7 linked regions of the Macaca mulatta genome follow. The protein of the gene in region 1 interacts with the protein of each later gene in a pairwise test. Links are inferred from orthologs where the notes say so. Each region holds a gene or a part of one and is shown in the gene's direction. Other genes may lie near its edges.

Region 1 (4,286 bases):
GCCCGTATTGCTCAGATAGCAGGACAATATTGAGAAAATCTCAAAGAAAAGCAGGAGACATCAAGCAAGGGATAAGAAAGCAACTTAAAAATGCTGGAGGTCTACTGCATGATAAGACAACGAGTATTGTGGGACTCCAAGACCCTGGGTCACTGTAGGATTCTTAGTCTCTCTATACTTCAGAAAGGAGCAAGCAATTTTTAGTTGCTCCTCAATACAACAACCCTATGTAATGGGCATTTTGTTACTATTTTAATGGATAAACAACCTTATGGTTCAAAAAGTAAAAGATGTAACGAAATCTACTTCTTTACGGCGGTACAGTTATCATCCCCATTTCACACGAGGAGAAACTGAGGTAAATGAATGGTAAACCAACTTGCTTGGGCACAAGTGAGAGGTAGCAGAGCTGGGCTTGTTATTGCCACACAGAAATGTTACCATCTGATAATTAAACCTTTCTTTTTCTAAACAAAACTGCAAGTGCCTACAAATGGGTCTGTTTAATAAAAGGCCTCACCTATCAGGTGGGCTCAGACGGTGACCCTCCTCATCCTCCAGCCTCTTGGGGAAGCCAGATGTCTGCGCTCCCCAGCACCTATATAAAGCCAGCTTTCTTTCTTCTTTTCTTTTTTTTTCAAGACGGAGTCTCGCTCTGTCGCCCAGGCTGGAGTGCAGTGGCGATCTCGGGTCACTGCAACCTCCGCCTCCAGGGTTCAAGCGATTCTGCTGCCTCAGCCTCCTAAGTAGCTGGGACTACAGGCGCCTGCCACCACGCCCGGCTAATTTTTCTATATTTAGTAGAGATGCGGTTTTACCATGTTGGCCAGGATAGTCTCGATCTCCTGACCTCGTGATCCACCCGCCTCGGCCTCCCAAATGCTGGGATTACAGGCGTGAGCCACTGCGCGCGGCCAAAGCCATCTTTAGCAGGGGCTGAGACCTGGGCACCAAGAAGAAACCCAACTAAACACTAGGGGCCTGGGCCCGGCAGTCGCGGAAGCTTGTAGGCCCGGAGCGTGTGGCACCATCTGCTTTTGTGACCAGTCCCCTAGGCTAGAGCTTCGGCGCGACCCGCCCAAGGGAGAGTGGCGGAGCCTCCCAGGCCTTTCTAGAGAAAGCAGCCCGGGCCCCGAGGCCACGAAATCTTGTCACACACTAGAAGCGCGGGCCAAGCCCCGCCCCCCGAGCCGCCTCTTCCGCTCGCGCCGGGGTGGGGTCTACGCGGCCGCCGGGATCCGCTCGGACGCGGCCACGTTGTCTTGCGCGCTTTGCGCGCCTGGCCCTGGGATCCTGACCCTTGGCTACCCGTTCCTGCCCCAGTAGCGTGGCCGCGAGTCTCTGTGAGCCGGCTGTATTCCCGCACTCGCTCAGGGGGCACAGGCGCAGGGATCGGCCCGGCCACTCTGAGCCTTCGGTGCGCGGGCGCGTCTGGGATACGGGCCCGGGAGGCACCGCCCTCCGTCCGCCCGGTGCCTCCCAGGAACAGCGAACGGGAGAGAGCGCCGGAGAGTTGGGCTCCGTGCAGAGCTCGGCGCCGGGGCCCATGCCCGTGAGCCCCCGCAGGCCCGCGCCATGGCCTCCGGGAGCGTGGCCGAGTGCCTGCAGCAGGAGACCACCTGCCCCGTGTGCCTGCAGTACTTCGCAGAGCCCATGATGCTCGACTGCGGCCATAACATCTGTTGCGCGTGCCTCGCCCGCTGCTGGGGCACGGCAGAGACTAACGTGTCGTGCCCGCAGTGCCGGGAGACCTTCCCGCAGAGGCACATGCGGCCCAACCGGCACCTGGCCAACGTGACCCAGCTGGTGAAGCAGCTGCGCACCGAGCGGCCGTCGGGGCCCGGCGGCGAGATGGGCGTGTGCGAGAAACACCGCGAGCCCCTGAAGCTCTACTGCGAGGAGGACCAGATGCCCATCTGCGTGGTGTGCGACCGCTCCCGCGAGCACCGCGGCCACAGCGTGCTGCCGCTCGAGGAGGCAGTGGAGGGCTTCAAGGTGAGGGCGCGGATCCGGGAGGGCGGGAACGCGAGTCGGACAAAGGGAGGAGAGAGCCAAAGGGGCTTCCCTTTTTCCGCCTAGAAAATGGCTGAGCCGGACGTGTGGTTCACAGCCGTCATTTCCTCTCTGTCCGCCCCAGAGCCTCAGCACTCAGATTTGGAGGAAAACCTGTAGCTGGCGAGGGAGCCAGAAGTCTCCCCACCCCCACTCTCCTTTCTCTGTGTGCCCCCATGTTTCCTGTCTCACGGACACATTGTACACGGAGACATGCTTTTGACAGTATAAAAGAAGTGCATAAAATCGCTTGCACATCGACGAGCTGTAGAGACACATGTACTCTCGTCGGCTGTCAGACAAAACGCAGTCGGACATTAACTGACCGATGCCCATTCCTTGGTCTATAAGCATTTCCCCAGCACTTTCCTGCAATACGTCCTGGTCTAGAAACTCACAGAAAAGAACAGGCTCTTCACTGCTTAAGTCATTTAACCACTCTGAGACTCAGGAGATAACAGTTATGAGGAAGATTATGGAATCATGTGATGCACAGAGCCCTCTGTGAACTGGCACAGCTAAACAGAAACGTGGAAACAAAATATTACATATAAAACAGTTGTAAGGTGACCTTCAAGGAGTCCATGATACTGTGTATTTTCTGTATGTTGAGGGCTTCAGGAATTCATACACAATTATGTCCGTGTTTAAATATGAATACATTCATGTGTAATTAATCACTTAACATTTATGGACCTTTCAGCTATATTCTTTCACTTACTCTGGTGAGAACTCTTGAGTAGGTTGGGAAGATGGTGTTTGCCCATTTCACACATGAGGGAAATAAGAAGTCACTTTCACAGTATGCTTGTGTGGAAGAGCTACAATACAACATAACTCTAAGCCTCCTACTCCAGTCACAGTTCCGCTAAGTCATGCGATATCCTACCAGGGACAGGTAGATGATTCATTGTTTAAGATAGACACAAATAATCCTGACGAGGTAGCTGAGTGGTTGAAGCGACAGGCTGCTAAGATAGACACAAATTGCCAAATGAGTGGCTTGTTGGCCCCTGCGCCCTGAGTCTTTCTCTTGTGGGTGGCAGTGTGGCCTGAGAACAAGTGCCAACTGGATACTTGGCATCAGGTGTGTGGACTCCATGTGTGATTAGAAGTACCATGCTGATGCTAAGGTCTACCTAGTTTTGAACTGCCCATCTGTTTTGCTTTTCTCAGGAGCAAATCCAGAACCAGCTTGACCATTTAAAAAGAGTGAAAGATTTAAAGAAGAGACGTCGGGCCCAAGGGGAACAGGCACGAGCTGAACTCTTGGTAAGGGTTGTTGGAATTCACAGTCGCTTCTGCTGGTGCTCCCCTCTTCTGTAGAGCTGATGTTACTTCCCTTAGACTTGTCCAGCATGTCACCCAGAACCTGTAGGTAGAGGGGGATCAACTGCACATGGCAGTGGGAACTCACCCAGAGAACTAAGAGATTCCCTTTCTTTTGGGGAAAGCGTGGAGGAGCCAAGTTTGGAACCCTTGGAAATCAGACCTGTCAGTATAGTTTAACCTGCTAACTGCGTAGACCAAGGTTGATCCTTGGCAAAGCTGAGATGGGTAAAATTATTGGATACAGTTAGCTTGCGTTGTTACCATTCTTCAGACAAGTGCTAATAGTGGATTTGTGTAAGTCCCACTGTTGCTTCTCTTTGTGTTATTCTCCTTTCTTGACAATGCCTTAATTCTGAATTTTTTGCTCTGCTCTCTTCCTCCAATCTCTCAAGGCCTCGACAAGTGGCTGATGTATTAATTTATGATAGGGGTATATGGGAATTTTTTCTTTTTATTTCCGACAGGGTCTCACTCTGTCACCCAGGCTGGAGTGCAATGGCAAGGTTTCGACTCACTGCAACCTCTGCCTCACATTTCAAGTGATTCTCCCACCTCAGCCTCCCAGGTAGCTGAGGCTACAGGCATGTGCCAACACACCCAGCTGATTTTTGTATTTTTAGTAGAGATGGGGTTTCACCATATTGACCAGGCAGGTCTCGAATTCCTGACCTCAAGTGATCCACCTGCCTTGGCCTTCCAAAGTGCTGGGATTACAGGTGTGAGCCACTGCACCTAACTGGGAATTTTGTTTTGAAAAGAAAAAAAAAAACAAGGCAGGGCATGGGGGGGGGTGGCGGCTCACACCTGTAATCCCAGCACTCTGGGAGGCTGAGGTGGGCGGATCACCTGAGGTCAGGAGTTGAAGACCAGCCTGGCCATGGTGAAACCCCGTCTGTACTAAA
Region 2 (3,500 bases), on another chromosome or scaffold:
TTATGCCATTGTGGCTAAATATGTGTCTGCCGTGGTTTGGGTAATTGCAAACTACAATCTGAAATCACTGCCTGCTTGACGCTGACTACATACACAGCTGGCATACACATTAATTTTCTGAATACACATTTCTACATATACATTCATTTTCTGAAGGATGTTTGGTTCTGGTTAGAGTTTCAGGGAGCATATTGTGACCCATGGGAGAACTTTGGGGCCCACAGGGAATGATGGCTCATATCAACCCACCAAGAGGAAGGAGCCACGGTAGGAATGTGGGCTGTGAACAAACCTGGCTATCTCTATCAGTAGGTGGCATCCCTCAGTGATGCCTTTGAATGAGATTCTTGGCTAAACAGACTTGCCAGGTTAGGGCAGTGGGAATGCCCTGACCCTGTGCTGGAAACCTAAAGACATACCCAACTAGGGAGATTTCTTTCCCTAACTAAAGCCCTGCCTAATCCCTTCCCTGACTTTGGACCTCTAGAGCTTCACCACCAATGAGAAGGCCATCCTGGAGCAGAACTTCCGGGACCTGGTGCGGGACCTGGAGAAGCAAAAGGAGGAAGTGAGGGCTGCGCTGGAGCAGCGGGAGCAGGATGCTGTGGACCAAGTGAAGGTGATCGTGGATGCTCTGGATGAGAGGGCCAAGGTGCTGAATGAAGACAAGCAGACCCGGGAGCAGCTGCACAGCATCAGCGACTCTGTGTTGTTTCTTCAGGTAACAAGCCACTCCTCTGTCACTCAAGCCCTCAATTTCCCCGTGCACTTTTCGAGACCCCCCTCCATCATCCATCCATCCACCTATCCACTTATCTACCTATTCATCTATCCATTCATTCACCATCCAGTCATCCAACCATCCATCCATTCATCCATCTATCCAAGTGCCATTCTCTCTGTTTAATTTTTTAATCCAATCCATTTCTCTACCTACTCTCAAGATGGCACACAAATATCACCTTTTATGAACTTCAGTTGATATGTGCTAGCAGTGCCGTAGGCTCGGTAGGAAAGATTTCTGAGATCAGTGAATCGGGTAGAGGGGCAGTGGCGTAGGAGTGCTGCCTATTTGTTATCTTGGATCTAGTCCATTTGTCTATTCGTCCATTCATCCTTCCATCTGCTAGAGTGTTTTGGATACTACTGCATGCCCAGTACTCTATTAGGTGCTGTGGCGAATAGAGAAGTACAAGACATGGTTTCTGCCCCCAAGCAACTGCAATCCAGCTGGGAAGATAAGACATGTACAATTAGAGAACAATATAGAAAAGTGTGTAATTAAATGATAAAGCATATGGCTCAGGAGATAAGTGCTTGTAGAAGCTCAGAGAAGGGCAGGCGGGCTAGAGGAAGCTAAGACAGCTTTGTGGAGGAGGTGGAGTTTCAACTGGGTCTTGGAGGCCGGTTAGGATTTGAGAGGGAGGACAGAGTCTTCGGTGAGGAGGAAGGGAAATGAGAAGTGCAAAGGCAGCACTGAGCATGGCATGTAAAGGTAGAAATACCACTGTGGGCCGGGCGTGGTGGCTCACATCTGTAATCCCAGCACTTTGGGAGGGCAAGGCGGGCGGATCACCTGAGATCAGGAGTTCGAGACCAGCCTGGCCAACATGATGAAACCCCATCTCTACTACAAAAAACAAAAACAAAAACAAATTAGCCAGGCATGGTGGACTCACCTGTAATCCCAGCTACTCAGGAGGCTGAGGCAGGAGAATTGCCTGAACTTGAAAGACGGAGGTTGCAGTGAGCCAAGATCGTGCCACTGCAGTCCAGCCTAGGCGAGAGAGTGAGGCTTCGGAAAGAAAGAAAGAGAGAGAGAAAGAAAGAAAGAGAAAGAAGGAAGGAAGGAAGGAGGAAAAAGAAGGAAGGAAGGAAGGAAGGAGAAGGGAGGGAGGGAGGAAGGAAGGAAGGAAGGAAGGAAGGAAAGAAAGAAACAAAGAAAGAAAGAAATACCACCGTGGCTGACCCTGAATACCATAGTCATTCCTTGCATTTCTTTAGTGCATTCACTCCCAGTCTTCACAGCTTGTGTCCCTCTCACAAACCCTATGAGGTAAACAGATGCACCCACTTTAGCGGTGGGAGTCGTGGAGTCACACATCTGAATGCCAATGCCATCAGGGCTGTTAGCATCCAGTGAGTTTTAGCTGAACCTTTTCACCTTACAGAAGAAACAAACGTCCAGTGAGGAAGAGTGGGGCTTGCAGCACTGAGATCCCCAGCTGCACTGTGAGAGCCCCTGGCAGAGAAGAGTCCTCATAGCTCATGAAGACCCAGGCAGTTAATGGTTTTTTCCTTTCTTGGTAGGAATTTGGTGCATTGATGAGCAATTACTCTCTCCCCCCACCCCTGCCCACCTATCATGTCCTGCTGGAGGGGGAGGGCCTGGGACAGTCGCTAGGCAACTTCAAGGACGACCTGCTCAATGTATGCATGCGCCACGTTGAGAAGATGTGCAAGGCGGACCTGAGCCGTAACTTCATTGAGAGGAACCACATGGAGAACGGTAGGTCCCCTCTCGTGGCTGGGCCCCAAGGCCATGGACCTTTCTGTCCCAAATCAATTCCTGCTGCCTGACATGGGCTGGCGTCCGGTGAGCTTATTCTCATTGTTCCTACCCACCCATCCACCCTTCCTCAGGCTGTTTGGACTAGGATACAGGGATTCTAACCCTCCCCCTCCTTTGAACTTGCTGCCAAAGTTATGCAGCTATAACAAGAGGCCTCCAGAGCAGGGACATCCTGGGCACTGGCTGCACAAATGCCTCCTCTCTGTGGGTTGTCCATCAAACTCAGAGACTGGTTTTGTTCAGATCTACATCTAATTGCCGGGCCCCGCCCGGCAGCTGTATGGATCCTGCCCCTGGTACGGGCCATACTCCAAACTGGTGGCTTTGCAGACTCTAGCAGACGTGACCTAGAACTGCAGCCATGCCTGGAGGGAGGACTTGCCTGTCATCATGGCCATGCTGAGCAGTGCTGAGCCCAGAGGCTGGACTTGGCCTGGTGGGCTGGGCTGGGGATGGTGGGACAGTGTCTCTGTGACTCACCAGCTCCCCTGAAGTCAGCTCTTCTTCTGAGTCATGCTGTCCCCTCAGAGGTCAACTGAATCATCTCACAGAAAACCTCTGAACCTGAGAAACAACATTGTTAAGTCCTTTTCCACCCAGTCCCTTTAGGGCCTGAAGCCTGGGCACTTTCCCCAAGGCCCCACCCGATGTCCCAGGTGTTGCACGGGGCCTTGAGAGTACAGCCTTCTTAATGAATGCTAGACGTGAATACCCCAAAGGAAAGGACCCCTGATTGCTCTCCAGACACAGCATATGATTCTTTGGGGGAGGAGAAGGACATGAGGGGGATAGGAGTGTGCGGAAGGGTTGGGGTTCAGGAGGCCATTTGTGCACCTTGGTGATGGCAGTATCACAGTGTCCCTGTGAAATGTGGGGGACATTCAGTCACACCCAAGGACAGATAAGCCATTTCAGCAAGAAGCCATAT
Region 3 (4,109 bases), on another chromosome or scaffold:
ATTATCACTCTCTCCATCCTACAGATGTAGAAACTGAGAGAACAGAGCCTGCACTTTAACACTACGCCATCGTTTTCTATAGGCATCCAGCCTACCCAGGACTCACCTCTTCAAAGCACTTGACAACGAAAGAGAAATTACGGCAAACTCTAGAAGGGGATGCCTGGCGCATGAAGCAGAGCTCTGAACACATAAGGTGATATTTAAAACTGAGGCTGGAATCGTTCAACGTAGGCTCCTTTCCTTGGTCAACGCGCGTTTATTTTCATACAACATGGAGTCAAACTACAGGCGCGTAGAGACGAGTACACTAGGGAGCCGAGCTGGCAGCTCGCCACAAATGCCCTGGCTAGACTCTCCTGGGACAGCCGAGCAACGCCCTTGCAGGAGAAATGACATCAGCTACTCCCGTATTTGTCCAGATGTGTATTGGGCCTTACTCAGGGAAACATTTACTGAAGCTTGCAAGCATTAGTGTATTGCTCCCATTCACAGACTTTCTGACGTAAATACTATGAACTATCCCATTTTACTCAGGAAGCAACTGAAGTTCAATAAGGTTAATTCCATTGCCCGGCGACGCGCAATCAGGGGAGAGGATTCTAACTCAGTAATCTGTGACTCCAGAATGCAACTATCACTTGCATACCCTCTGCTTCCCAAAACTCTCCGGCCTCCATTTCTCCCTTTTCTCACATTTCTAAATTCAAACCGAATTTGGAGTGAAAGGGAGCAGCAGCCGAGGCAGGAGGATACAAGGTGGTCAAAGTCCTCCAAGAGCGTCTTCCCTGGCGGCCCCGCTACCCAGGGCTGCGCGCGAGTCCCAGGGCTTTTTCAGAGGTCCCCAGATCCCCGCGTGGCGGCCCCTCCCTGAGAGCACCCGGTTACCGTGACTGAACGGCGTCCTGCGGCTCCAGGCCTCAGCCACCTGCTTTTTCAAGGTTTCTTCCATAACAGCGTCCGAAAACTCCGCCATCACCTCCTTCTTTCCCTTTTTTCCCACCCGGGCTGGGCCAGGCTCCGCTGGCCGCTTCCCATTCATCTCCTCCCAAGGTACAGAACCACGCCACACTGATCAAGACGCTACTTTCCTGAGGGGACTACAATTCCCGGCATGCCTCCTTTACTGTGTTTCCAATGGGAATCACCAAAGCAAGAGGAGGCGGAACCTATACCCGGTTTACCAATGGGAGCTCCAGCTATTGCAGCCATCCCACCAGCTATTGGCCCAATGGCGCTCGGTCTGGCAGGCCACCTCCTCTCTACTTCCTGCCGCCAGAGGCTCCGGGTTCACTTCCGGCGTGCCTACGCCTCCTCTTGCGCTCTCCTGTTAATGGCGGGCGGTAGCTGCTGAGGGGGTTGCAGATAACCGCTTCCCGCACCGGGAAAGTCTCCCCTGCCTCCCACTTTCTGCTCGCCGCCAGCGCCGGAGCTCGCCAGCATGTCTGTGGTACCGCCCAATCGCTCGCAGACCGGCTGGCCCCGGGGGGTCACTCAGTTCGGCAACAAGTACATCCAGCAGACCAAGCCCCTCACCCTGGAGCGCACCATCAATCTGTAAGTGCGGGGCGGCCTTGGCGGGCATTTCTCTCGTGAGCGCTCCTACAGACACTCCCGCGCGTCCCCGGCTTTTCGGCGTGCTTCACGCCTCCGCACCTCCCAGCCTCCAACTCCCGCTGGCGGATGCGCGCCTTCCTCGCTCCCTCAGGCCCCTTTCTCATCCTCCTACCTCCGGGAGTTAAGAGTCCTTTTCTGTAAAGGAAGGCTTGTTCCCATCCTATGTATTCGGTCATAATGGGGAAAAACGGAGTTTGCTTTTAACTCATCCTTTCCCCACCTCTCCAGAGGTAACCAACTTCAAAATGTGTGTGTGTGTGTGTGTGTGTGTGTGTGTGTGTGTGTGTTTTATCCTTCCCGTGAAATGTTTATGCTTTGGCATCACGTATATGGTATTGCTTTGTGATTGTTGATGTGGTACGAATGGTATAACCTAGTATCATTTTTGCACATTTCACTCTGACAGTAAGCTTTCGAGATCCAGCTGTAATGCCTAGGTCTAGTTTTTTTCCTTTTAATTGCTACTTAAATATTTCGGTTTATGAATACAACACATGTTATTCATGTGCTCAGGGCTGTCTGCCCTGCCTCATGCCTTATGCCTTCGCGTCGTCTGATGATGTCTCAACGCCAGCATCCCAGGCACCCCAAGTAGGCCCCTCCTTGGGAGTAAGGATGCTGCTATGGTTGGGCTTTCAGACTGGAGGGAACCAGAATGTTTGTACCAGAAAACCCATTGTGGGCTGTGTTTTATTTTCAACACCTTTCCGTTTCAACACTTGAAACCATTGCATTTCAAGGTCACTCTCAGCAGCAGACTCGCTGTAGCAGGTAATTGACGTTTGAGATGTCTGAAGAAATTGTCAGTAATGCTTTTTAAAATCGTGTCTGAGGATTTGTTTTCGAGGCAACGTGGTGCCTCTATTTTCCTGATGGAGGAAAGTGGCCAGTTTATGCCAGTCTGTGTACAAGTGCAAGGATTTGGTGGTATTGATGTTTTCGTAGGGCAGTTTAGGTGTTTCTCTTGTTTTATATTAAAATAAATGGACGTTCTCTCTCCGTCCCCCAACCAAAGTGATTTGAAGTTGAAAAGATGGTTAACATTGTTTTATTTTGTAAAATGTGTTGGCTTGGAAATTTAGATGATGGAAATGCTGGGTTTATAAAATCTGGAATTAGTCGATAGTTGTGTGTATAAAAGTCCTCAGGAGTGGCGGCTCAAGACTGTAATCCCAGCACCTTGGGAGGCCGAGGTGGGAGGATCACTTGAGGCCGGGAGTTGTAGACAAGTCTGGGCAACATAGGCTGTCTCTACAAAAATGTTTTTAAAAATTAAGAAAAAAATCCATCAAATGGTAAAGGCAAATGTTATCCTTTTTAAAAGTATGAAAGCACAGCTTCTGGGTTACTTTCAGTGGTGATTAGAGCTAAAACCCACAGTCTTTTCTTGTTTTGTCTTGATTACTGAATTAATTTGCACCAAGCCATTATGTAGAATTAACTTGGCAAAATAGTTAGCTTTCAGCAAGATTTTAATCTTCGCTCTATTAAAATTATGGGTTGATTTACAGTACATTTCTTCTCCTATATAAATATAAATATTCAGAAATAATCATTGTGTTGTGAACTTAAGTTCACCTGAGTTAATATTAAGTTGAAAACAAATGCGCTCTCCCCAGTATATTTTCTTTCAGGAAATATTGCATGAATGCCTACTTTGTGCCAGGCACTGTGCACAATACTGGATATACAGTGGTGAGGAAGTAAGGTGTAGCCCCTGCTTTATGAAGCTCACAGTATGATGAGAACAATATGTATGTCTGGGCTGGCACTCTGATTTCACAGGTGAAAATTCTGACATTTCATCTTGACATTACTGATATATTGGAGCTGGCTCTTGCAACAGAGATGTGTAATGGCTATCCTTAATTCTTTCTAACTCAGGTTGTGAGAATTAAATGTTAATATATGTAAAGCGTTTGAAAAAATTGCCTGGCACATCGTGCTGTGTAGCATATCTGCTGCTGCTATGGATGATGGTGTTAGATTTAGCCTTGGGTCTACTGGGGACGTTCTTTAAATCTTTAAAGCATCCTTGAAATGGTATATTTTAATTATTTTATAGCTTTTTCATATGCCTAGAACTTGGCTTCTGAAATTAATTTTTTTTTTTTTTTTTTTTTTTGAGACGGAGTCTAGCTCTGTTGCCCAGGCTGGAGTGCAGTGGCCGGATCTCAGCTCACTGCAAGCCCCGCCTCCCGGGTTCACGCCATTCTCCTGCCTCAGCCTCCCGAGTAGCTGGGAGTACAGGCGCCCGCCACCTCGCCCGGCTAATTTTTTTTTTTTGTATTTTAGTAGAGACGGGGTTTCACCGTGTTAGCCAGGATGGTCTCGATCTCCTGAACTCGTGATCCGCCCGTCTTGGCCTCCCAAAGTGCTGGGATTACAGGCTTGAGCCACTGCGCCCGGCCTTAAAGTAATTTTTAAAGTTTTGGCAACCTTGATTTTTTCCCCCTTTCAAGAATGGCTGAGTGTAGTAGATGCAATAATGT
Region 4 (3,935 bases), on another chromosome or scaffold:
AGTGAGCCGAGATCGTCAGGCTGCACTCCAACGTGGGCAACAAGAGCGAAATTCTGTCTCAAAAACAAACAAACAAATGCCACCAATATACGAATTTGGGCATTACATTTCCAACATGTGAAATTTGAGGGACACATTCAAACCACAGCAGAGGGTCAAATCAGTTAATAAACTGCAACACCAGTACCTGTGCATACTAAGGGCCATATACACGTTAATCATTATCATCATCCTTTCGTTGGAAATCACTGAGGCCAAAGGAGTGGGTGAGACCGCCCAGAAACGAAGAGGGCTGAAGACAGTCTTTCAAGAAGTCAGCATCTCAGGCTCTTGTGCCGGAGAGGAAACAAAGAAACCAGCCAGGGGACTGGGCAGCACAGCTCTGAGGTCACCGAAAGGAGAAGGATGAACTTCTATAATGGCTGATTGTGTTTGGATGCTAAGGAGAGGAGAGGCAGGCATTCCGCTGAGAGAGGGAGGGATGCGTGGGGCAAGGCGGGGACGGGGAGCTGGTGTAGGCGGGAGGAGGGCAGACGAGTACTCTGGTCTATCCCCGCTTCCAGGACGCATCTTCTGGGAGGGGGGCGCGGAGCATGGATGGCGAGTATGGGGAACTCAGAGAGGGACAGTGTCTTGTCACAGGAAGGGAGGGTCAGGAGGGAAATTTGAAAGGAAACGTCTCTGGGAACCCAGGGCTCCGCACTGCCAGGCCCTGGCTCCTTCGGACAAAACCACTGAGCAAGAAAGAAAAGCCAGACCCCTTGGCAGGATGGACAGGGTCCCTGCCCACTGCGGGGTCTGAGGCCTGAGGCCTGAGCCAGGAGGCCTAGATCCCAGGACCTCCGCCTCCACCCCATGGATCAGAGCAGCCTCAACCCCGTGCGCGCTCCAGGGAGGGGACCCGGCGTGCGATGCGCGGGGGCTGGGCGGGCAAGGGCGGTGGCCCGGGCGGGACGCATAACACAAAGCCCGGAGCCACGAGGCTGGCGGCAGGGAGGGGGCCGGAGAGATGAATGGGGACGGCCGGGCCAATCCGAGCGCAGCATTTACAGCTGCGACAGAGAAAGCCAATCGGATCCCTGGGGCGGGGACGGGGGCGGGGACAGAACCAATCAGCTGTGAGGACGGGGCCTGGGGCGGAGCCGCGCAGAGTTTCAAACCGGCTGTGGTGGGCGAGGAGCAGCTGTGCTGGGCGTGTGATCCGCGTTGGTGCTGTCGGGTGAGTGCGGGCGGGGCACAACAAATTTCGTTCTTGTTCCCCAGGCTGGGTGCAATGGCGCGATCTCGGCTCAAAACAATTTTTTTTGTTCAGAGGGGAGGGCATTGGGTTCGGACACGCACGGCCTGTGGAGGCGTCTGGGTACTACAAGCGTCGGATCAAAATCAGGGCGTCTGGTGGGAAGGCCGGGATCTGCGTGGGGGCGCGTTTGGTCTGGGCGAGCTGGTGAAGGAGATGGTGATCGTGTCCTGGGCCCAGCGCTGAAGCTCGGCTACGGCGTGTCTTGACCCCGCCTCCCCTCCACGCCTGAGCCAGAGAGAGGAAGGAGGTTGGGATGAAAAGACAGCTGTTTTGGAAACTTGAAGTGCGGGACAGCAGAAATGCTGCTGACCCGAGACCTCTCTTCCAGGAAGCATCCTCCTTCCCGCACCCACACTTGCCAACTCGCCCGCTCCCCGCTCGCCCTCGCCACCCCGCTGCATCCCATCTCTTCCCCTGTGTCCAGGGTCTCTGTGGGGCCTGGAAATGGGGATGGGGAATGCCTTGCTGACCTGCTTTTTTGCCCTCCTCCCCAGGGTCTAGTGGACAGAGAAGACTCTTGGCCAGACAAATGGCTTCTCGGTGGCAGAGCATGGGGACCTCTGTGCGCCGGAGATCTCTCCGGCACCAGGAGCAGCTGGAGGACAGCAAGGAGCTGCAGCCTGTGGCCAGCCATCAGGAGACCTCTGCAGGGGCCCTGGGGTCTCTGTGCAGGCAGTTCCAAAGGAGGCTGCCCCTGAGAGCCGTCAACCTCAACCTCTGCACAGGCCCCTCCTGGAAACGCCTGGAAACCCCAGAGCCAGGTCAGCAGGGCCTCCAGGCTGCAGCTCGCTCAGCTAAGAGCGCTTTGGGTGCCATGTCCCAGGTAATAGTGACAATACTAATCATCTTTTTTATGGAGTGTTTCCTTGGTGCCAGACAGTTCCTGCCCTCAAAGAGTCTCAAGAATATAGACTCCAAGAAGACAGGGATTTTGGTTAGTTCACTGCTGTTTCCCCCGCACCCCAAATAGTTCCTGGCACATATAGGCACTCAACAAATAGTTGAATGAGTTAGTGAAAACATGTCTTGGAGGAAACAGATGCTCACAATACCAGGTGATAAGAGCTGTACGTGATAGGAAATTGCAAGCAAGTGGCCAATAGCGAGGGCTCGCCAAACACAAACTTAGCCGGTGAAGGCTTCCCAGAGGAGATGATTCCAGAGTTCACCCAGGGAAGCAAAGGTCAAGGGGTATTTAGGGTAGGAGAAATAGTGCAAGTCCAGAGCCCCTCAGGTCCAAGCCTAGAGCTGAGGGAAAGCAAGGTGTACTGCCAACTCAGCCGTGTACCCCTGAGGAGAGCCAGAATTGTAGTCTGGGTATGAGCAGAGGACAGAGAGCAAGGTAGAGCCGGGAGAAAGGACATGAAGGAGCTTAGACTCTCCCAGGAATGATCAGGAGTCTGGAGGATTCTAAACAGTGGAAAGTCTGGTCTCATTAGCATATTAGAATTTGTCCTTTATCTACGTGATGGAGAACGGAATAGAAGCAGAGGTGCTCCTGAAGGAGACTAAGGATCTGGACTTGCAGAGGATAAACTTCAGGAGCTGCTGAGAAGGTCAGTTAGAGGGGATTTGCTGTCAAATGAGAGGTGCTGGCAGGAAGATGTCCTTATATTGGATGTAAGCGTCTATGGGCCCTTCAACCGATGCATCTTTAAACCCAGAGCTGGAGGTGTAGACGTGTCACTTAGAAAGGACAGAAGCCATTAGGATGAACAGACCTCCAGAGAGAGGACTGGGGGCTGCAGAGGTTTCTCCTCGGTGTCTCATTGGGAATTCTGAAGACGAGAGAATTCTCCAGAAAGAGAGTGGCTCTTTCTGGACCCTCTGCAGAGAGTTCTCTGAGCCAAATGTTAGTCTTTATTTGGAAGAACTTTTTGATTGTTTTCGCCACCCTCAGGGATCAGAGAAATGAAATGAATTTGTCCAAGGTCACGTAACTCATCAGATTTAACCTGGGCTGGGCTCCAACCCCTGGGCTCTGGCTTGCCAAGGCAAAGACAGTCGAGCTGATGAAGAAGAGCCTTCACAGCCGTCACCCAGCTGGTGTGAAAGGCCCAGGAGTTGGGGCTTGGTCCTATGTGCAACAAGAAGCCATAGAAGGGTTTCGAGCAGTTGAGTGTCACAGTCAGAACTGCCCTTTAGAAGGATCACTATGGACCACTGTAGAGGGTGGATAGAGTGAGTGAGACCCGAGGCAGGAAGACAGGCGCTCTCCTGGTGTGCAGGGGGTGCTGGGCGGGGGAGCCTGCTCTACTCTGGGCCCTCTCCTTCAGTCCTGGGGTCAATCTGTGTCTGGAAAGAGAGTTTGGACTTAGACAAACAGGCTCCAGGCACCAGGGGGATCCTCCTGCTGCTGACTGCTGCTGTCATATCCAGGAGCTCTGAGCTGGGTCCCTGCCGTGGACTCATTCTACGAGGAGTCAGTCACATCCTTCACCCTGGAGACTAAAACAGCCTGTATTTACAGGACACTTGGTGGGTCTAGGGATCGCTGGTAGGGTCTGGAGACCAGGGTAGTTTACCCTTGGGTTTTTTGTTGTTGCTTGTTTGTTTGCGAGACAGGGTCTCACTCAGTCGCCCAGGCTGGAGTTCAGTGGCACGATCTCGGCTCACTGCAACCTCCACCTCCCGG
Region 5 (3,936 bases), on another chromosome or scaffold:
AACCACATGGTGACCGGCCAAGTTCTAGGTAAGCCAATAAAGCTAATATACACAGTTCCTTTTTCCTCATTTTCACTCTCATCTTACTTCTCCTTTTTACCATTCCATCTTTTTGGAATATAGACAGCATTCTTCTATACTTCTTTTGCTTTAATAGCAATTATCTCTTCAGTAAAAACTCCAAATGTCATTCAAAATATTTACCCCCAAATAGAAAGAAAGTCGAGCTGTAACTCTAATACTTATTACACGGCCGTGTCTGACACAGAGTGGATTCTAAAAGGTTAAGTGAGCGGACCCCAGTGAGAATGAGGGCACTCCGTGCTGACGGGAGGCAGCTGAGAACCGCTGACACACACTCAGGTCCTTTTCACACCGCACAATCCCGGCGGCCTGACCCTGATCTGTCCTCGACCACCCTCTCTGAGCACTGGTGGTAAAAACCCTTAAACATAACAAGACTCGGAACCTAAAGTCAAGACAAGATCTGGTCGTTAAGGTGGGACGGCGGCATCCTTCTTGCCCATCAAAGGAGTAAGCTTTACTGAAACTTCCTGCCACAATGAGAAAAACACAAACACAAGGCAGCGCGCCCTTCCCACGTCCAGCACTGGTCCCGCACAGCAGCGGCGGAAGGACCCTCAGGTGTCCGCTCCTTCACGGCCAGGCAGGGCGGTGGGGCGGGGACGGCAGGACGCTGCCGGGGACCGGGTGGGCATCTCCGCGGGCCCCGCAGGCCTCGCCCCAGACCCGAGCCCAATCCCGGCCCCACGGCGGGGCCAGGTTCCGACCGCTGCGCGCCCATTACCTGTGGCGCAGAGCCGCAGAGCGGCCCAACTCCTCCACGCTGCCATGCCAGCCAGGGAGAGCTGCAGAAGCTGACTCTGTGCAAAAGAGGGATAAAGACACTGGGGTTCGCTGCCTGCCCGCCCGGAAAGGGAAGCAGACCCCACCCGGAGCGGAAGAGAAGCACCGCGCTCAATACGGGGGCGGGACTAGCCGGCCTCGTTAACCTCCCAGCACCCGGCTGGTCTCTAATTCTGGCTATGAGGGGGAGTACGGCGCCTGCGCGAGGAGGGTAGCGCCTGCGCAGTCGTGTTCTTAAGAATGCTTTGCGCCCCCGGCGCCCCGCCCAGCCCAGGAGCGTGGGAACCCTGCTTAAGGGCTTTACTAGGGACAACGGTGGTTGTTCACTGGGGCGAGTTTCTGGGAAGGTGAGTACCGGTGAAAGTTACGCTGAGGGTGAGGTAGGCTCCGACGACGCAGTTGCAGGTTGAATATTGGCACATCATTTACTTGCTACTCCCATGCAGTAAATGCACCTGTGGGTTTTGATGCTGGATCAAATTCCTGGAAAGAGGCGCGCATTAAGACTGTGGATTGCTGAGCTGCGCGACACTCCGTATTTTTCCAAAACGTACTTGTAATATTCTTTCAACCTGTTTGCATAATGGGACATCTCTTAAATGCAGCAAGCTTTAATGCATTTTTGCCAAAGTAAGGATTGCCTCTTTAAAAACTTTCTCTTGAAACTTGAGAACATGAAGTTAAGCGTAGGATATTTTTTGATGACTCTTTTCTGATTATTTTGGGACTAAATAAATAGTATGAAATATTTATATTGCTACCTGTTTTTTCTTCTACACGACAATGATTTGTAAAAACCATATACTTTCATGAGACGGTTACTGCAGCAGTCACTACTTCCGAATTAGATGAAATTTTTATGGGACATAAGGTACCAGAGAATTTAGATCAAACCAAATTTTGAAAACCTATGACAGCAGAAGGGGGATATGATGTCAGCCGGTTCACCTTAGGTTCAAAATTCCAACAGGCCGAAATGTTATAAAACGTTGTTATTCCTAGTGACTGGAAGATTAAATTGCACTGTAATTGAGAGCAAGCCCTAAATGTCACCCCCTTTGTGCATACAGCATGCACAAACGCGAGCCCTCTGCAGATTCAATTTTTCTTTTTGTTTCTCTTTTCTTTTCTTTCTTTTTTTTTTTTTTTTGAAAAAAGTAGACTAAAACGTAAGAGGACAGTTGAAGTGATGGTAATGTTCTCGCGGTGGTGGAACAGCTTTATAATAGTACCATCGCCTCGATACTCTTATACAGAAGCTTTTCTACTTTCTTGGCAAGGTCTCTGAATGACCCATATTCAATTTTTTTTTCATTCTAATGTATTTCAAATTTTTCTGTCTTCCACATCATGCAAAATAAAATAATATCTTTTTATATTTGCGTTACAGTTTAAGTTCACATGTGGAGAACAACGAAAACAGGTTGACCTAGATTTGTGCTCTTCAGTAGTGTAGCCACTAACCATATGTCGCTATTGAGCTTTCGAAATGTGCCTAGTGTGATGAAGTAACTGAATATTTAATTTTAATCTCAGTAAACTCAAAAACTGGCACTTGATTCAGCTATTGGAAAGTTTTTTTAATATGGTTGGAACAACTGAGGTATGTGAATCTACTTTTTCAACTGTAAACTTTATGAAATCTAAATACTGATCAAGTCCCAGGCGTCGGTGGCTCATGCCTGTTATCCCAGCACTTTGGGAGGCTGAGGCAGGAGGATTGCTTGAGGTGAGGAGACTGAGACCAGCCTGGTCAACACAGGGAGACCCCATCTGTACAAAAAATTAAAAAATTAGCCGGATGTGGCCTGGCGCGGTGGCTCACGGCTGTAATCCCAGCACTTTGGGAGGCTGAGGCGGATGGATCACTAGGTCAAGAGATTATGACCATCCTGGCTAACACAGTGAAACCCCATCTCTACTAAGAATACAGAGAATTAGCCAGGCGTGGTGGCAGGCGCCTGTGGTCCCAGCTACTTGGGAGGCTGAGACAGAAGAACGCATGAACCCAGGAGACCGAGCTTGCAGTGAGCCGAGATTGCACCTCTGCACTCCAGCCTGGGCGGCAGAGGGAGATTGTTTCCAAAAAAAAATATCAGCTGGATGTGGTGGCACACACCTGTGGTCCCAGCTACTCCAGAGGCTGAGGTGGGAGGATAAGTTGGGCCAGGGAAGTTGAGGTTGCAGTGAGCTGGGATCCTGCCACTGCCTTCCAGCCTGGCAACAGAGCAAGACCATGTCTCTATAAAATAAATATCAATTAAATATTTCTGATGAAATTAGAGAGGTTGTAACGAGATATACTATAAATGTAAAATATACACTGGATCACTGGATTGGGAAGACAATATAAAACTGTAAAATGTCTCAATATTTTTGTACTGATAATATGTTATAATGATTATAGCTTAGATATGAGTTAATTAAATTATTAAAATTAATCTCACATGTTTTTATTTTTAAGTGTAGCTACTAGAAAATTTATAATTACATATGTGGTTTTGCATTATATTTCCGTTGCACATCACTGATCTAGGCAACGTGAAAATGATCAAAATAATGCATTAATCTGAAAATGATTTAATAAACCAATAAACTTTTTAGGCTTTTTGTTCAGAGAACATGCTAAATTTCCACATGCTAAAACATATTCTGCGGTGAAAATTTTAAGTGTTTTTTTCTGCTTATCTACCTCAAGTGGTGATTTTTTTTTTGAGATTTAAAAGATTCTACTATTTTGACAATATTTTTAAAAAGACTTTCAGATAAGCTACACTTGTACAGGTATATATATATATACCTTGTGTATTTTGCATACATATTGCTGTAGTCTAAATGTGTAACCCAAATTTCATATGTTGAAACTTAATTGCCAATATGATAACATTAAGAGGTGGGGCCATTTGGGCATGATTTAATCATGAGGTGGGACCCTCATGAATGTGATTAGAGACCTTATAAAAGAGATTGAAGGGATTGTCTTAGACCCCTTTTCCCCTTCAACTTTAAGCCATGTGAAAACACAACAAGAAGGTACCATCCTGGAAGCAGAGAGCAAACCCTTATCAG
Region 6 (3,500 bases), on another chromosome or scaffold:
CCATCCCAACCTAAGTGAACTCCTGATCTTCCTCCCCACCAGCGCCCCTAACCTCTTCTGTAGACTTCTCCATCTTAGTTCGTGGCACCTTCATGGCCTGAATAACAATTATTCCAGTTGTTCAGGCCAAACACTTTAGGGTTTCTCTCACATATGTTTTTTCAGGAAGTCCTATTAACTTCAAATTATATCCAGAATCTGCCACCTGTCTATACCTCCACCTCCACAACCCTCTACCACAGTGGTACCCAACCTTTTTGGCACCAGGGACTGGTTTTACAGGAGACAGTTTTTCCAGAGACCCCAGGGGGGTGGGGGTGATTTTGGGATGATTCAAGCGTATTACACTTATTGTGTACTTTATTTCTATTATTATTACATTGTAATATATAATAAAACAATTATACAACTTACTATAATATAGAATCAGTGGGAGCCCTGAGCCTGTTTTCCTGAAATTAGATGGTCCCATCTGGGGATGATGAGACAGTGACAGATCATCAGGCATTAGATTCTTACAAGGAGTGTGCAGCCTAGATCACTCACATGTGCAGTTCACAACCGGATTCGTGCTCCTGTGAGAATCGAATGCCCCTACCGATCTGATAGGAGGCAGAGGTCAGGATGTAATGCAACTGATGGGGAGCGGCTGTAGATACAGATGAAGCTTTGCTTGCTTGCAGCCTGCCGCTCACCTCCTGCTGTGTGGTCCAGTTCCTAACAGACCATGGACTGCTAGCAGAGCCCCGCTCTGCCATCTGGTCGGCCTGGATTATTACAATAGCCTCCTAATTGGTCTCCAGCTTCTACCCCTTCCCCTCCATATTCTACTCTTAATGCAGTGTGAAAGTGATCCTGTAAAGCATAAGACATATCCAGTCCATCTTCCTGATCCTGGAAAAAGGGCCCCCTCATGTGATTTAGTGACAGCCGTATCCTTGCAGTGGGAATCAAGGCCCTGTGTGATCTGGCCCCGTTCTCCCTCTGATTTCCTCTCCTCCCCATTTACTCCAGCCACCCTAGCTTCCCTTCTGTTCCTCAAGGATGCCAGGCAAGCTCCAGTCTGAGGGCCTGTGCTACATCTTCCCTTTGCCTGCAGTGCGCTTCCTCTAGATATCTGCTTGACTAAGTCCCTCTTCCGCTTCAAGCCTGTGCTCAAGTCACACTAAATTATGAGCCCTGCCTGTTCTGATCATCCTATTAATATGCCAGCCTTCTAGGCTCTCTCTTCCTACATATGTTATCCCTCTTAGCCTGTCTTTTTCTTTTTCTCATACACTTAATTATCTTAAAACATACTATATAATTATGTTTGCTTTTTATTTTCTTAGCCCCACTCTTCACTAGAATGTAAACTGTATGAGGGCTGGGATCTCTTGGTTCTGTTCGCTAATCCCTAGAAGGGGGTAGGCATATATTAAGAGCTCAATACATAGCTGTTAAATGAATGGATGAATAGACAGACTCTGGTTGCAGTTTTGTATGGTGAACAGTTGATGTGGGAATGGGCTTGTATTCTAAGAGATTTTACCTTTAAAATTAATCTCATTTTTTTCTGAGAAGTCAAATTCAACTACTGTTTTCATTTCAGAATTCAGTACTGTACACAGGAAATTATTGTCTTCCGTGAAGACTTAGTAAATAAAATGTGCAGAAACTGCGTCCGTTTTCCTAGTAGCAATTTGGCTATTCCTAATCATGTAAGTGAAACATCTTTTTTATTAAACTGTCTTACATGTTGCATTATATAAAATTTTATTAAGCCACTTAATAATTTGTCCTTGGGTTAGGACATTTATTTATGGTTCAAAATAGTTTGAACATACTTTTGTCAGTATGTTAATTTCTGTTAGTGAAGTCAGTGTTTCGCAGCTTTCTACCAAAGTGTATACCCTAAAGGACAGAGAAAAGCTGAGAATAAGCAGAAAATTTCTTTCAAGCTTTGTGTTTTGTCTTTTAAACTCTTAAATCATACTTTAAAATATATGTATATTTGTTTTAATAAACTGTTCTTATTTATCCCATTGGTTACATATTTTATATAGTATGTCCATATCACAAGAATGTGCAGTATTTATCTTGTAGCTTCAAGGTTCCCTCACATACAGTTATCAATCCCAGGTTACATATACCCCCATTTGAGAAGTATGGAAATAGATGTTACAGAGCATTTGTGTTATTCATTTTATAATATTTAAAGTTTATGGACCAGGCGCAGTGGCTTATGCCTGTAATCCCAGCACTTTGGGAGGCTTGTTTGAGGCCAGGAGTTTGAGACCAGCCTGGGCAGCATAATGATGTATATATATATGTTATTAAATGAAAACTCATAGATTTTTTTTCCCTAAAATACAGAATAGTTCATTTCGTTTTTAAATTAGTGTCTCCCAAAGCTCTGTGAGTCAAAGCTTTCCTAGTTGTTTCTCAAATTTTCTGGTTCCTTTTGGTTTAATTTGAAATTATTTGTTTAGCTATTTTCACTTTTGCAAATGAATTGAAGTTTGTTTTGTTTTGTGCTCTTTTGTAGTTTGTAAAGACTATCTTATCCCAAGGACATCTGACTCCCCTACCTCTTTATGTCTGCCCAGTGTATTGGGCATATGACTATGCTTTGAGAGTGTATCCTGTGCCCGATCTACTTGTCATTGCAGACAAATACGATCCCTTCACTATCACGAATACTGAATGCCTCTGCATAAACCCTGTAAGAATGTAGTTAATCTTATATAGTCATTATTTGTCAAGATTAGAGTACATTTTTTAATTTAAAATATATATTTAATAAAATTATTGTTGAAATAAAAATATGCTATTAAGGAAACACTGAATTAAGTTTCTATACACAGAAAGTTGGTATACACAGAAAGTTCTTAAATTTTCAGTATAGTATGTGACTATAAAGTAATGTGACTTTTTAAAAAAAAAACAAAACAACCATACCAAAACATGAATCCAAAACAGTATTTTCTCCTCTTTAAAACTTATATTGGGATTCCCTTCTGGGAATTGCTTCAGAGTCTGTATATTGGTGGTACCTGTCCTTTGAAAATGATTTTGATTTTTAGAAATTGCACAGGTCCCAAAAATCTAAGCCTGATTAATGTAGAAACCTCATTGGTACACATTTTATTACTTTTTATGTAGAACCTTGAAATTGCTTCAGAATCTTGACATTGCTTCAGAATTTCTACAGAAATATAATTGACTTTTAGGCTGGGCGTGCTGGCTCATGCCTGTAATCTTAGCACTTTCAGAGGCTGAGGCAGGTGGATCATGAGGTCAGGAGTTCAAGACCAGCCTGACCAACATGGTGAAACCCCGTCTCTACTAAAAATTACAAAAATTAGCTGGGCGTGGTGGCGCACAACTGTAATCCAGCTACTCGGGAGGCTGAGGCAGGAGAATTGCTTGAACCCGGGAGGCAGAGGTTACAGTGAGTGGAGATCACGCCATTGCACTCCAGCCTGGGCAACAGAGCGAGACTCCATCTCAAAAAAAAA
Region 7 (3,963 bases), on another chromosome or scaffold:
CTACTGTTTGGACAGCAGATTGCTGGTTCTCCAAACGTTTCCCAGTATTAAAGTCACTGATTCATCACACAAGGCCCACCGGTTTTAGCTGGGGTCACCGAGACTCAGAGTGAGAATCCTACAATCAATGAACATCTATTGTGTGCCTCCTCATCAGACATGTGCGGAGCTTGGGGGGAAACAGATGAATAAGAAGCTCAGGGTCTGGTGGGGATGTCAGATTTTATATATATATTTTATATTTATATATATTTTATATATATATAATTTATCTGAAAGTGTTGGGATTATAGGCGTGAGCCGCCGTGCCCGGCTTTTTTTTTTTTTTTTTTTTTTTTTTTTAAGAGACATGGCCTTGCTATGTTGCCCAGGTTGGTCTCGAACACCTTGGATCAAGCGATCCTCCCGCCTCAGCCTCACGAGTAGCTGGGACTACAGTCGCGTGCCACCACGCCTGGCTTTATTAATTTTACAGGTTATAAAGCTGAGACTCAGAGAGGTTAGGTAACTTGTCCAAGGTCACACAGCTAGTAAGTGGCAAAGCTAAAAATGGGACCCACGCTCTTAACCGTCGCCCACAGCCCGTAACACCGACAGCCCTAGCAAGGCTGGATTCCAATCACGCGTGATTTCAGCGTCTCACTGGCTCTCTTTGAGCCTCAGTATTTCTGTTCGTACAATGGGGGCGAGGGATCCGACCGTTAGCCCCTGCTTGCTTGTGCGGAGTCATGAATGCAGCTCCAGGCTCCGTAGCGGTTTCCATGACAACCCGGCCAGCCACCATCCCTAAACCGAGTGGCTTCCGTCACGTCCGGCCTGTTTACTTCCGGGTCCTAGCTCCAGACGCGACGATGGCTCGTTAGGCTCCAAACTGCCGTTCCGCCGCTTTCGTCCTCGTTCTTCGGCCTTCCGCTTTGTTCTCGGCCTCTGGCTTGTAGTCTCCGTCGGCCGCGGGCATCGACCGCTTCCCGGAGCCAGCGCGCAGCCGTGGTCCACCCTCTCTTCGGACCCGCCTCCTGGCGACTTCACTTCCGGGCCGAGTGTTTCCGGGTCGCTGCTGGCCCGCGGGTACTGGTCTCAGTACCCCTGCAGCCGGCCGGAGCGGCTAGAGCCCAGTGGGGCCCGGCTCCGGCGGCAGCCGCGCCTCCCGCTTGCTTCCCTCGGCCGGGCAGCCCTCGGCGGCAGTGTCAGGGTGAGTGACGGGCGGCCGCGAGCGGAAACTGTGTCCGGGGCTTCCCCAGGTGGAGGGGGCGCCAGACAGCGGCAGGGCTCTGCTGGCCCGTGAGCGGGGTCCCCTCACGTCAGGCAGGACTACAGGTGGGCCCGTTGTTTCGGCGCTCCCGGGACCCCCAGCCTATCCTCAGGATCCCCATTCTCCTGGGAGCTGCCTTGTAAGCTCCTGGAACCCACCGAGGGTGGCTCAGGGCCGCTCAAGAGGAGCACCCTCTCTTCGGCGACTGGCCAAACAGAAGGACACCCCGATTTCGCCACGAGGCGGTTACTGCGCAGGGGTTCCCAGTTCAGACTCTCTGGCGGCACACCTGGGTTTGTACTCACTGTGTGACCTTGGATAAGTCACTTCATCTTAAGAGCCTCAGTTGCCTGTTTAAGTGTGATTGAACCTGGTTGCTAGGGCTGGAGTAGAGATGGAATGAGATCATGCAGGGCCCCTGGCATACAGCAGGCGTCCAGTAAGTGATAGTTCCTGTTACTTCATTCAATTCACGAACCCGTGGGGAGGGCCAGAATTTGAGACTGGGCTGTTTTTCACAACTGACGTGGCCCCCCGAGGCTGTAGGAATGACCGAGCTGGGACTTAGCAGCCGCCAGCTTCTGTCCCTTGCAGGGAGGGAAACAGCTTCCTTCAGAGGCAGCTGCCACTAGGGAAGCTTCTTTCGGCACCGCTGAGGTTATTTTCAGAGGTTTGGAAGGACTCTGTGTGAATTTCTTTGGAATCTAGTAGGAGTGTGGGGACCTTCTGGTGTTTCACAGCCCGTGGAAGGTGCCTTGGATGTGTCTCGGAGCCTCTTGCTTGGAACGAGTGCATTGGTGTGGGTGGGGAGGTGGAGGGGGTTGAACTGACTTCCTCGTCTGCTGTTTGGAGGCTGATGGAGCTAGACCAGGGATGTGTAAACCTGTGGACAGGGGCAGTGCACAGACCAAAATAGCTCTGCCTGTGCAGAGAGGGGGCGCCTTCAAATACTGCTTGGGGAACATTTCTGCTTGAATGGGCCAGCTGAGGTAAAGCCAAGCGAATGCTTTGTTACTCGGAATCACTTCACTTCCATGCAGTGGGAGTCTAAACAGATACAGCTTTCCTCTTAGATGTTTAGAAAATAACTAAATAAGCCACTGCCTCCCTGACTGCAATATCTCTCTTTCCATTGACTTGCTTTTCAAGAGGGTGCCTAGATTGTGGGTTCAGGAGGTGCTGACTGGAGCTGTTGACTCTGGGCACCTGCCTGCCTCTATGTTCAGGATATTCACAGTGCTGTTTTTTTGTCTTTTGGGTTTTTTTTTTTTTCTCCCACCAGACTGGCACGGCTTGGCGTTCCAATCCTTGGGTTGCTTGGAGAAATTAACAGCTTCTGTCGTTGGGCTGTCTCGGTCTCCTGTAACCACGATGTTTTTGCAGAGAGCGTATTTTGTTGTTCTTGCAGAGTGCTGGGAATGAATTGCTGGCTCTGTGCTCAGAAAAAACACCAGCTATGACCAGCTACAAGGCATCTTGTATTCTCAGAAAATGTTTTCAGCAGGGATGATGTCAGCTGCTTCATCACTGGCCGATGTCTCCGGCCAGCCTCTTTCCTCGGCCCTTGAGCTTACATCATATAGAGATTAGCTCTCCTAGCCCCATTCGGTGTGGGAAGATGGGAATTTTGCTACTACAGGAATTTTTGTAACTCAACTCTGCTCGCGCCGCCATAAGGCATTCTAACTTAGCCAGACACTTTCGAGTAGAGCTGTCCAGCAGATGCAGCAGGATGGCTTTGCAAGAGTCAGAGTTTTGGCATTAGACCTAGGTTCAGAGCTCAGAGCCACTTCTTCCTAGCCTTATGACTTAGGGTAAGTGAGTTGGCCTCTCCGAGCCTCAGTTTCCTCTTTAACCTTGGATCTATCCTATGGATTTCATTGTTTTTCATAGAGCAGTTAGCAGAGAGCTGCCACACAGTAATCCCTTGGTAAATGGTACTGATGTAACAATAAATGAGTGAGATAAATTGGAGAAAGCCCCAGGCATCAGGGCCTGCCAACAAGAGTTCAGATTCCAGCTCTGATCCTTTCAAACTCTGTTGGACAGGTTGTTTTAATGGGAGAGCCTGTTTTCCTTATAGAGTTGTGAGGATTAAATGGGATGATGTAGGTAAAGTGGGAAGCCCAATACTTAGCACATAGTAGGACCTCAGTAATTGTTAGTCTCTTTCTTTCCTTTCCTTACTGACTGATTGAGACAGAATCTTGCTCTGTCACCCAGGCTGGAGTGCAGTGGTGCCATCATAGCTCACTGCAGCCTCAAACTCCTGGGCTCAGTGGATCCCCCCACCTCAGACTCCCAAGTAGCTAAGACTATAGGTGCATGTCACCACACCCACCTAATAATAATAATAATAATTATTATTATTATTATTTTTGTAGAGATGGAGTCTATGTTGTCCAGGCATGTCTTGCCCTTAATTATCTTTTAGCTTTTACTTTCTTCCGCCTTTTCCCTCACCTACCCAGGTTGTTTGGAGATTTGTTTTAGATATTTTGGACTTCCTGTCCTTGTTGTTCAGATTTTGAACATCAGCTGGGCTGTTTGGATCCCTTTGCTTTATTTATTGTTTTTCAGCAACAAACAAGGGTGTGGACTGTGGTGCGATTATAGAGCAGCATACGCTGAGCCGAGCTTGCGACTGGCTGACTTTGTAAAAAATCAGTCTCTTTGAGTTCAAGGCTGACTTCCTTGGAAAAAAATTACAG

Evidence for each region.
Region 2: the proteins of TRIM27 (region 1) and TRIM29 interact in a two-hybrid assay, tested with the Homo sapiens proteins (2 studies listed by BioGRID and IntAct). The link is inferred for Macaca mulatta from reciprocal best matches to the Homo sapiens genes TRIM27 and TRIM29.
Region 3: the proteins of TRIM27 (region 1) and NUDT21 interact in binary tests that used the Homo sapiens proteins (3 or more experiments, as listed by UniProt). The two-hybrid records come from large-scale screens. The link is inferred for Macaca mulatta from reciprocal best matches to the Homo sapiens genes TRIM27 and NUDT21.
Region 4: the proteins of TRIM27 (region 1) and PIMREG interact in binary tests that used the Homo sapiens proteins (3 or more experiments, as listed by UniProt). The two-hybrid records come from large-scale screens. The link is inferred for Macaca mulatta from reciprocal best matches to the Homo sapiens genes TRIM27 and PIMREG.
Region 5: the proteins of TRIM27 (region 1) and CCDC102B interact in binary tests that used the Homo sapiens proteins (3 or more experiments, as listed by UniProt). The two-hybrid records come from large-scale screens. The link is inferred for Macaca mulatta from reciprocal best matches to the Homo sapiens genes TRIM27 and CCDC102B.
Region 6: the proteins of TRIM27 (region 1) and POLE2 interact in binary tests that used the Homo sapiens proteins (3 or more experiments, as listed by UniProt). The two-hybrid records come from large-scale screens. The link is inferred for Macaca mulatta from reciprocal best matches to the Homo sapiens genes TRIM27 and POLE2.
Region 7: the proteins of TRIM27 (region 1) and SPATA2 interact in binary tests that used the Homo sapiens proteins (3 or more experiments, as listed by UniProt). The two-hybrid records come from large-scale screens. The link is inferred for Macaca mulatta from reciprocal best matches to the Homo sapiens genes TRIM27 and SPATA2.

The regions. Positions count from the first base shown.
Region 1 is NC_133409.1:154,415,202-154,419,487, forward strand, and holds the start of TRIM27 (zinc finger protein RFP), read left to right. Parts: upstream 1-1,486; 5' UTR 1,487-1,575; coding exon 1,576-1,995; intron 1,996-3,228; coding exon 3,229-3,324; intron 3,325-4,286. UniProt on the Homo sapiens protein: E3 ubiquitin-protein ligase that mediates ubiquitination of various substrates and thereby plays a role in diffent processes including proliferation, innate immunity, apoptosis, immune response or autophagy.
Region 2 is NC_133419.1:120,805,998-120,809,497, reverse strand, and holds part of TRIM29 (tripartite motif-containing protein 29), read left to right. Parts: intron 1-487; coding exon 488-721; intron 722-2,310; coding exon 2,311-2,509; intron 2,510-3,500.
Region 3 is NC_133425.1:52,007,898-52,012,006, reverse strand, and holds the start of NUDT21 (cleavage and polyadenylation specificity factor subunit 5), read left to right. Parts: upstream 1-1,309; 5' UTR 1,310-1,441; coding exon 1,442-1,557; intron 1,558-4,109. Other genes in the region: prolyl 3-hydroxylase OGFOD1, read right to left, coding at 889-1,042. UniProt on the Homo sapiens protein: Component of the cleavage factor Im (CFIm) complex that functions as an activator of the pre-mRNA 3'-end cleavage and polyadenylation processing required for the maturation of pre-mRNA into functional mRNAs.
Region 4 is NC_133421.1:7,925,440-7,929,374, forward strand, and holds the start of PIMREG (protein PIMREG), read left to right. Parts: upstream 1-1,135; 5' UTR 1,136-1,219; intron 1,220-1,794; 5' UTR 1,795-1,829; coding exon 1,830-2,123; intron 2,124-3,935. UniProt on the Homo sapiens protein: During mitosis, may play a role in the control of metaphase-to-anaphase transition.
Region 5 is NC_133423.1:11,949,062-11,952,997, reverse strand, and holds the start of CCDC102B (coiled-coil domain-containing protein 102B), read left to right. Parts: upstream 1-1,136; 5' UTR 1,137-1,214; intron 1,215-3,936. UniProt on the Homo sapiens protein: During interphase, forms fibers at the proximal ends of centrioles to maintain centrosome cohesion. During mitosis, dissociates from the centrosome following phosphorylation to allow centrosome separation. Contributes to CROCC/rootletin filament formation.
Region 6 is NC_133412.1:122,869,713-122,873,212, reverse strand, and holds part of POLE2 (DNA polymerase epsilon subunit 2), read left to right. Parts: intron 1-1,591; coding exon 1,592-1,700; intron 1,701-2,527; coding exon 2,528-2,704; intron 2,705-3,500. UniProt on the Homo sapiens protein: Accessory component of the DNA polymerase epsilon complex. Participates in DNA repair and in chromosomal DNA replication.
Region 7 is NC_133415.1:102,752,112-102,756,074, reverse strand, and holds the start of SPATA2 (spermatogenesis-associated protein 2), read left to right. Parts: upstream 1-1,163; 5' UTR 1,164-1,192; intron 1,193-3,963.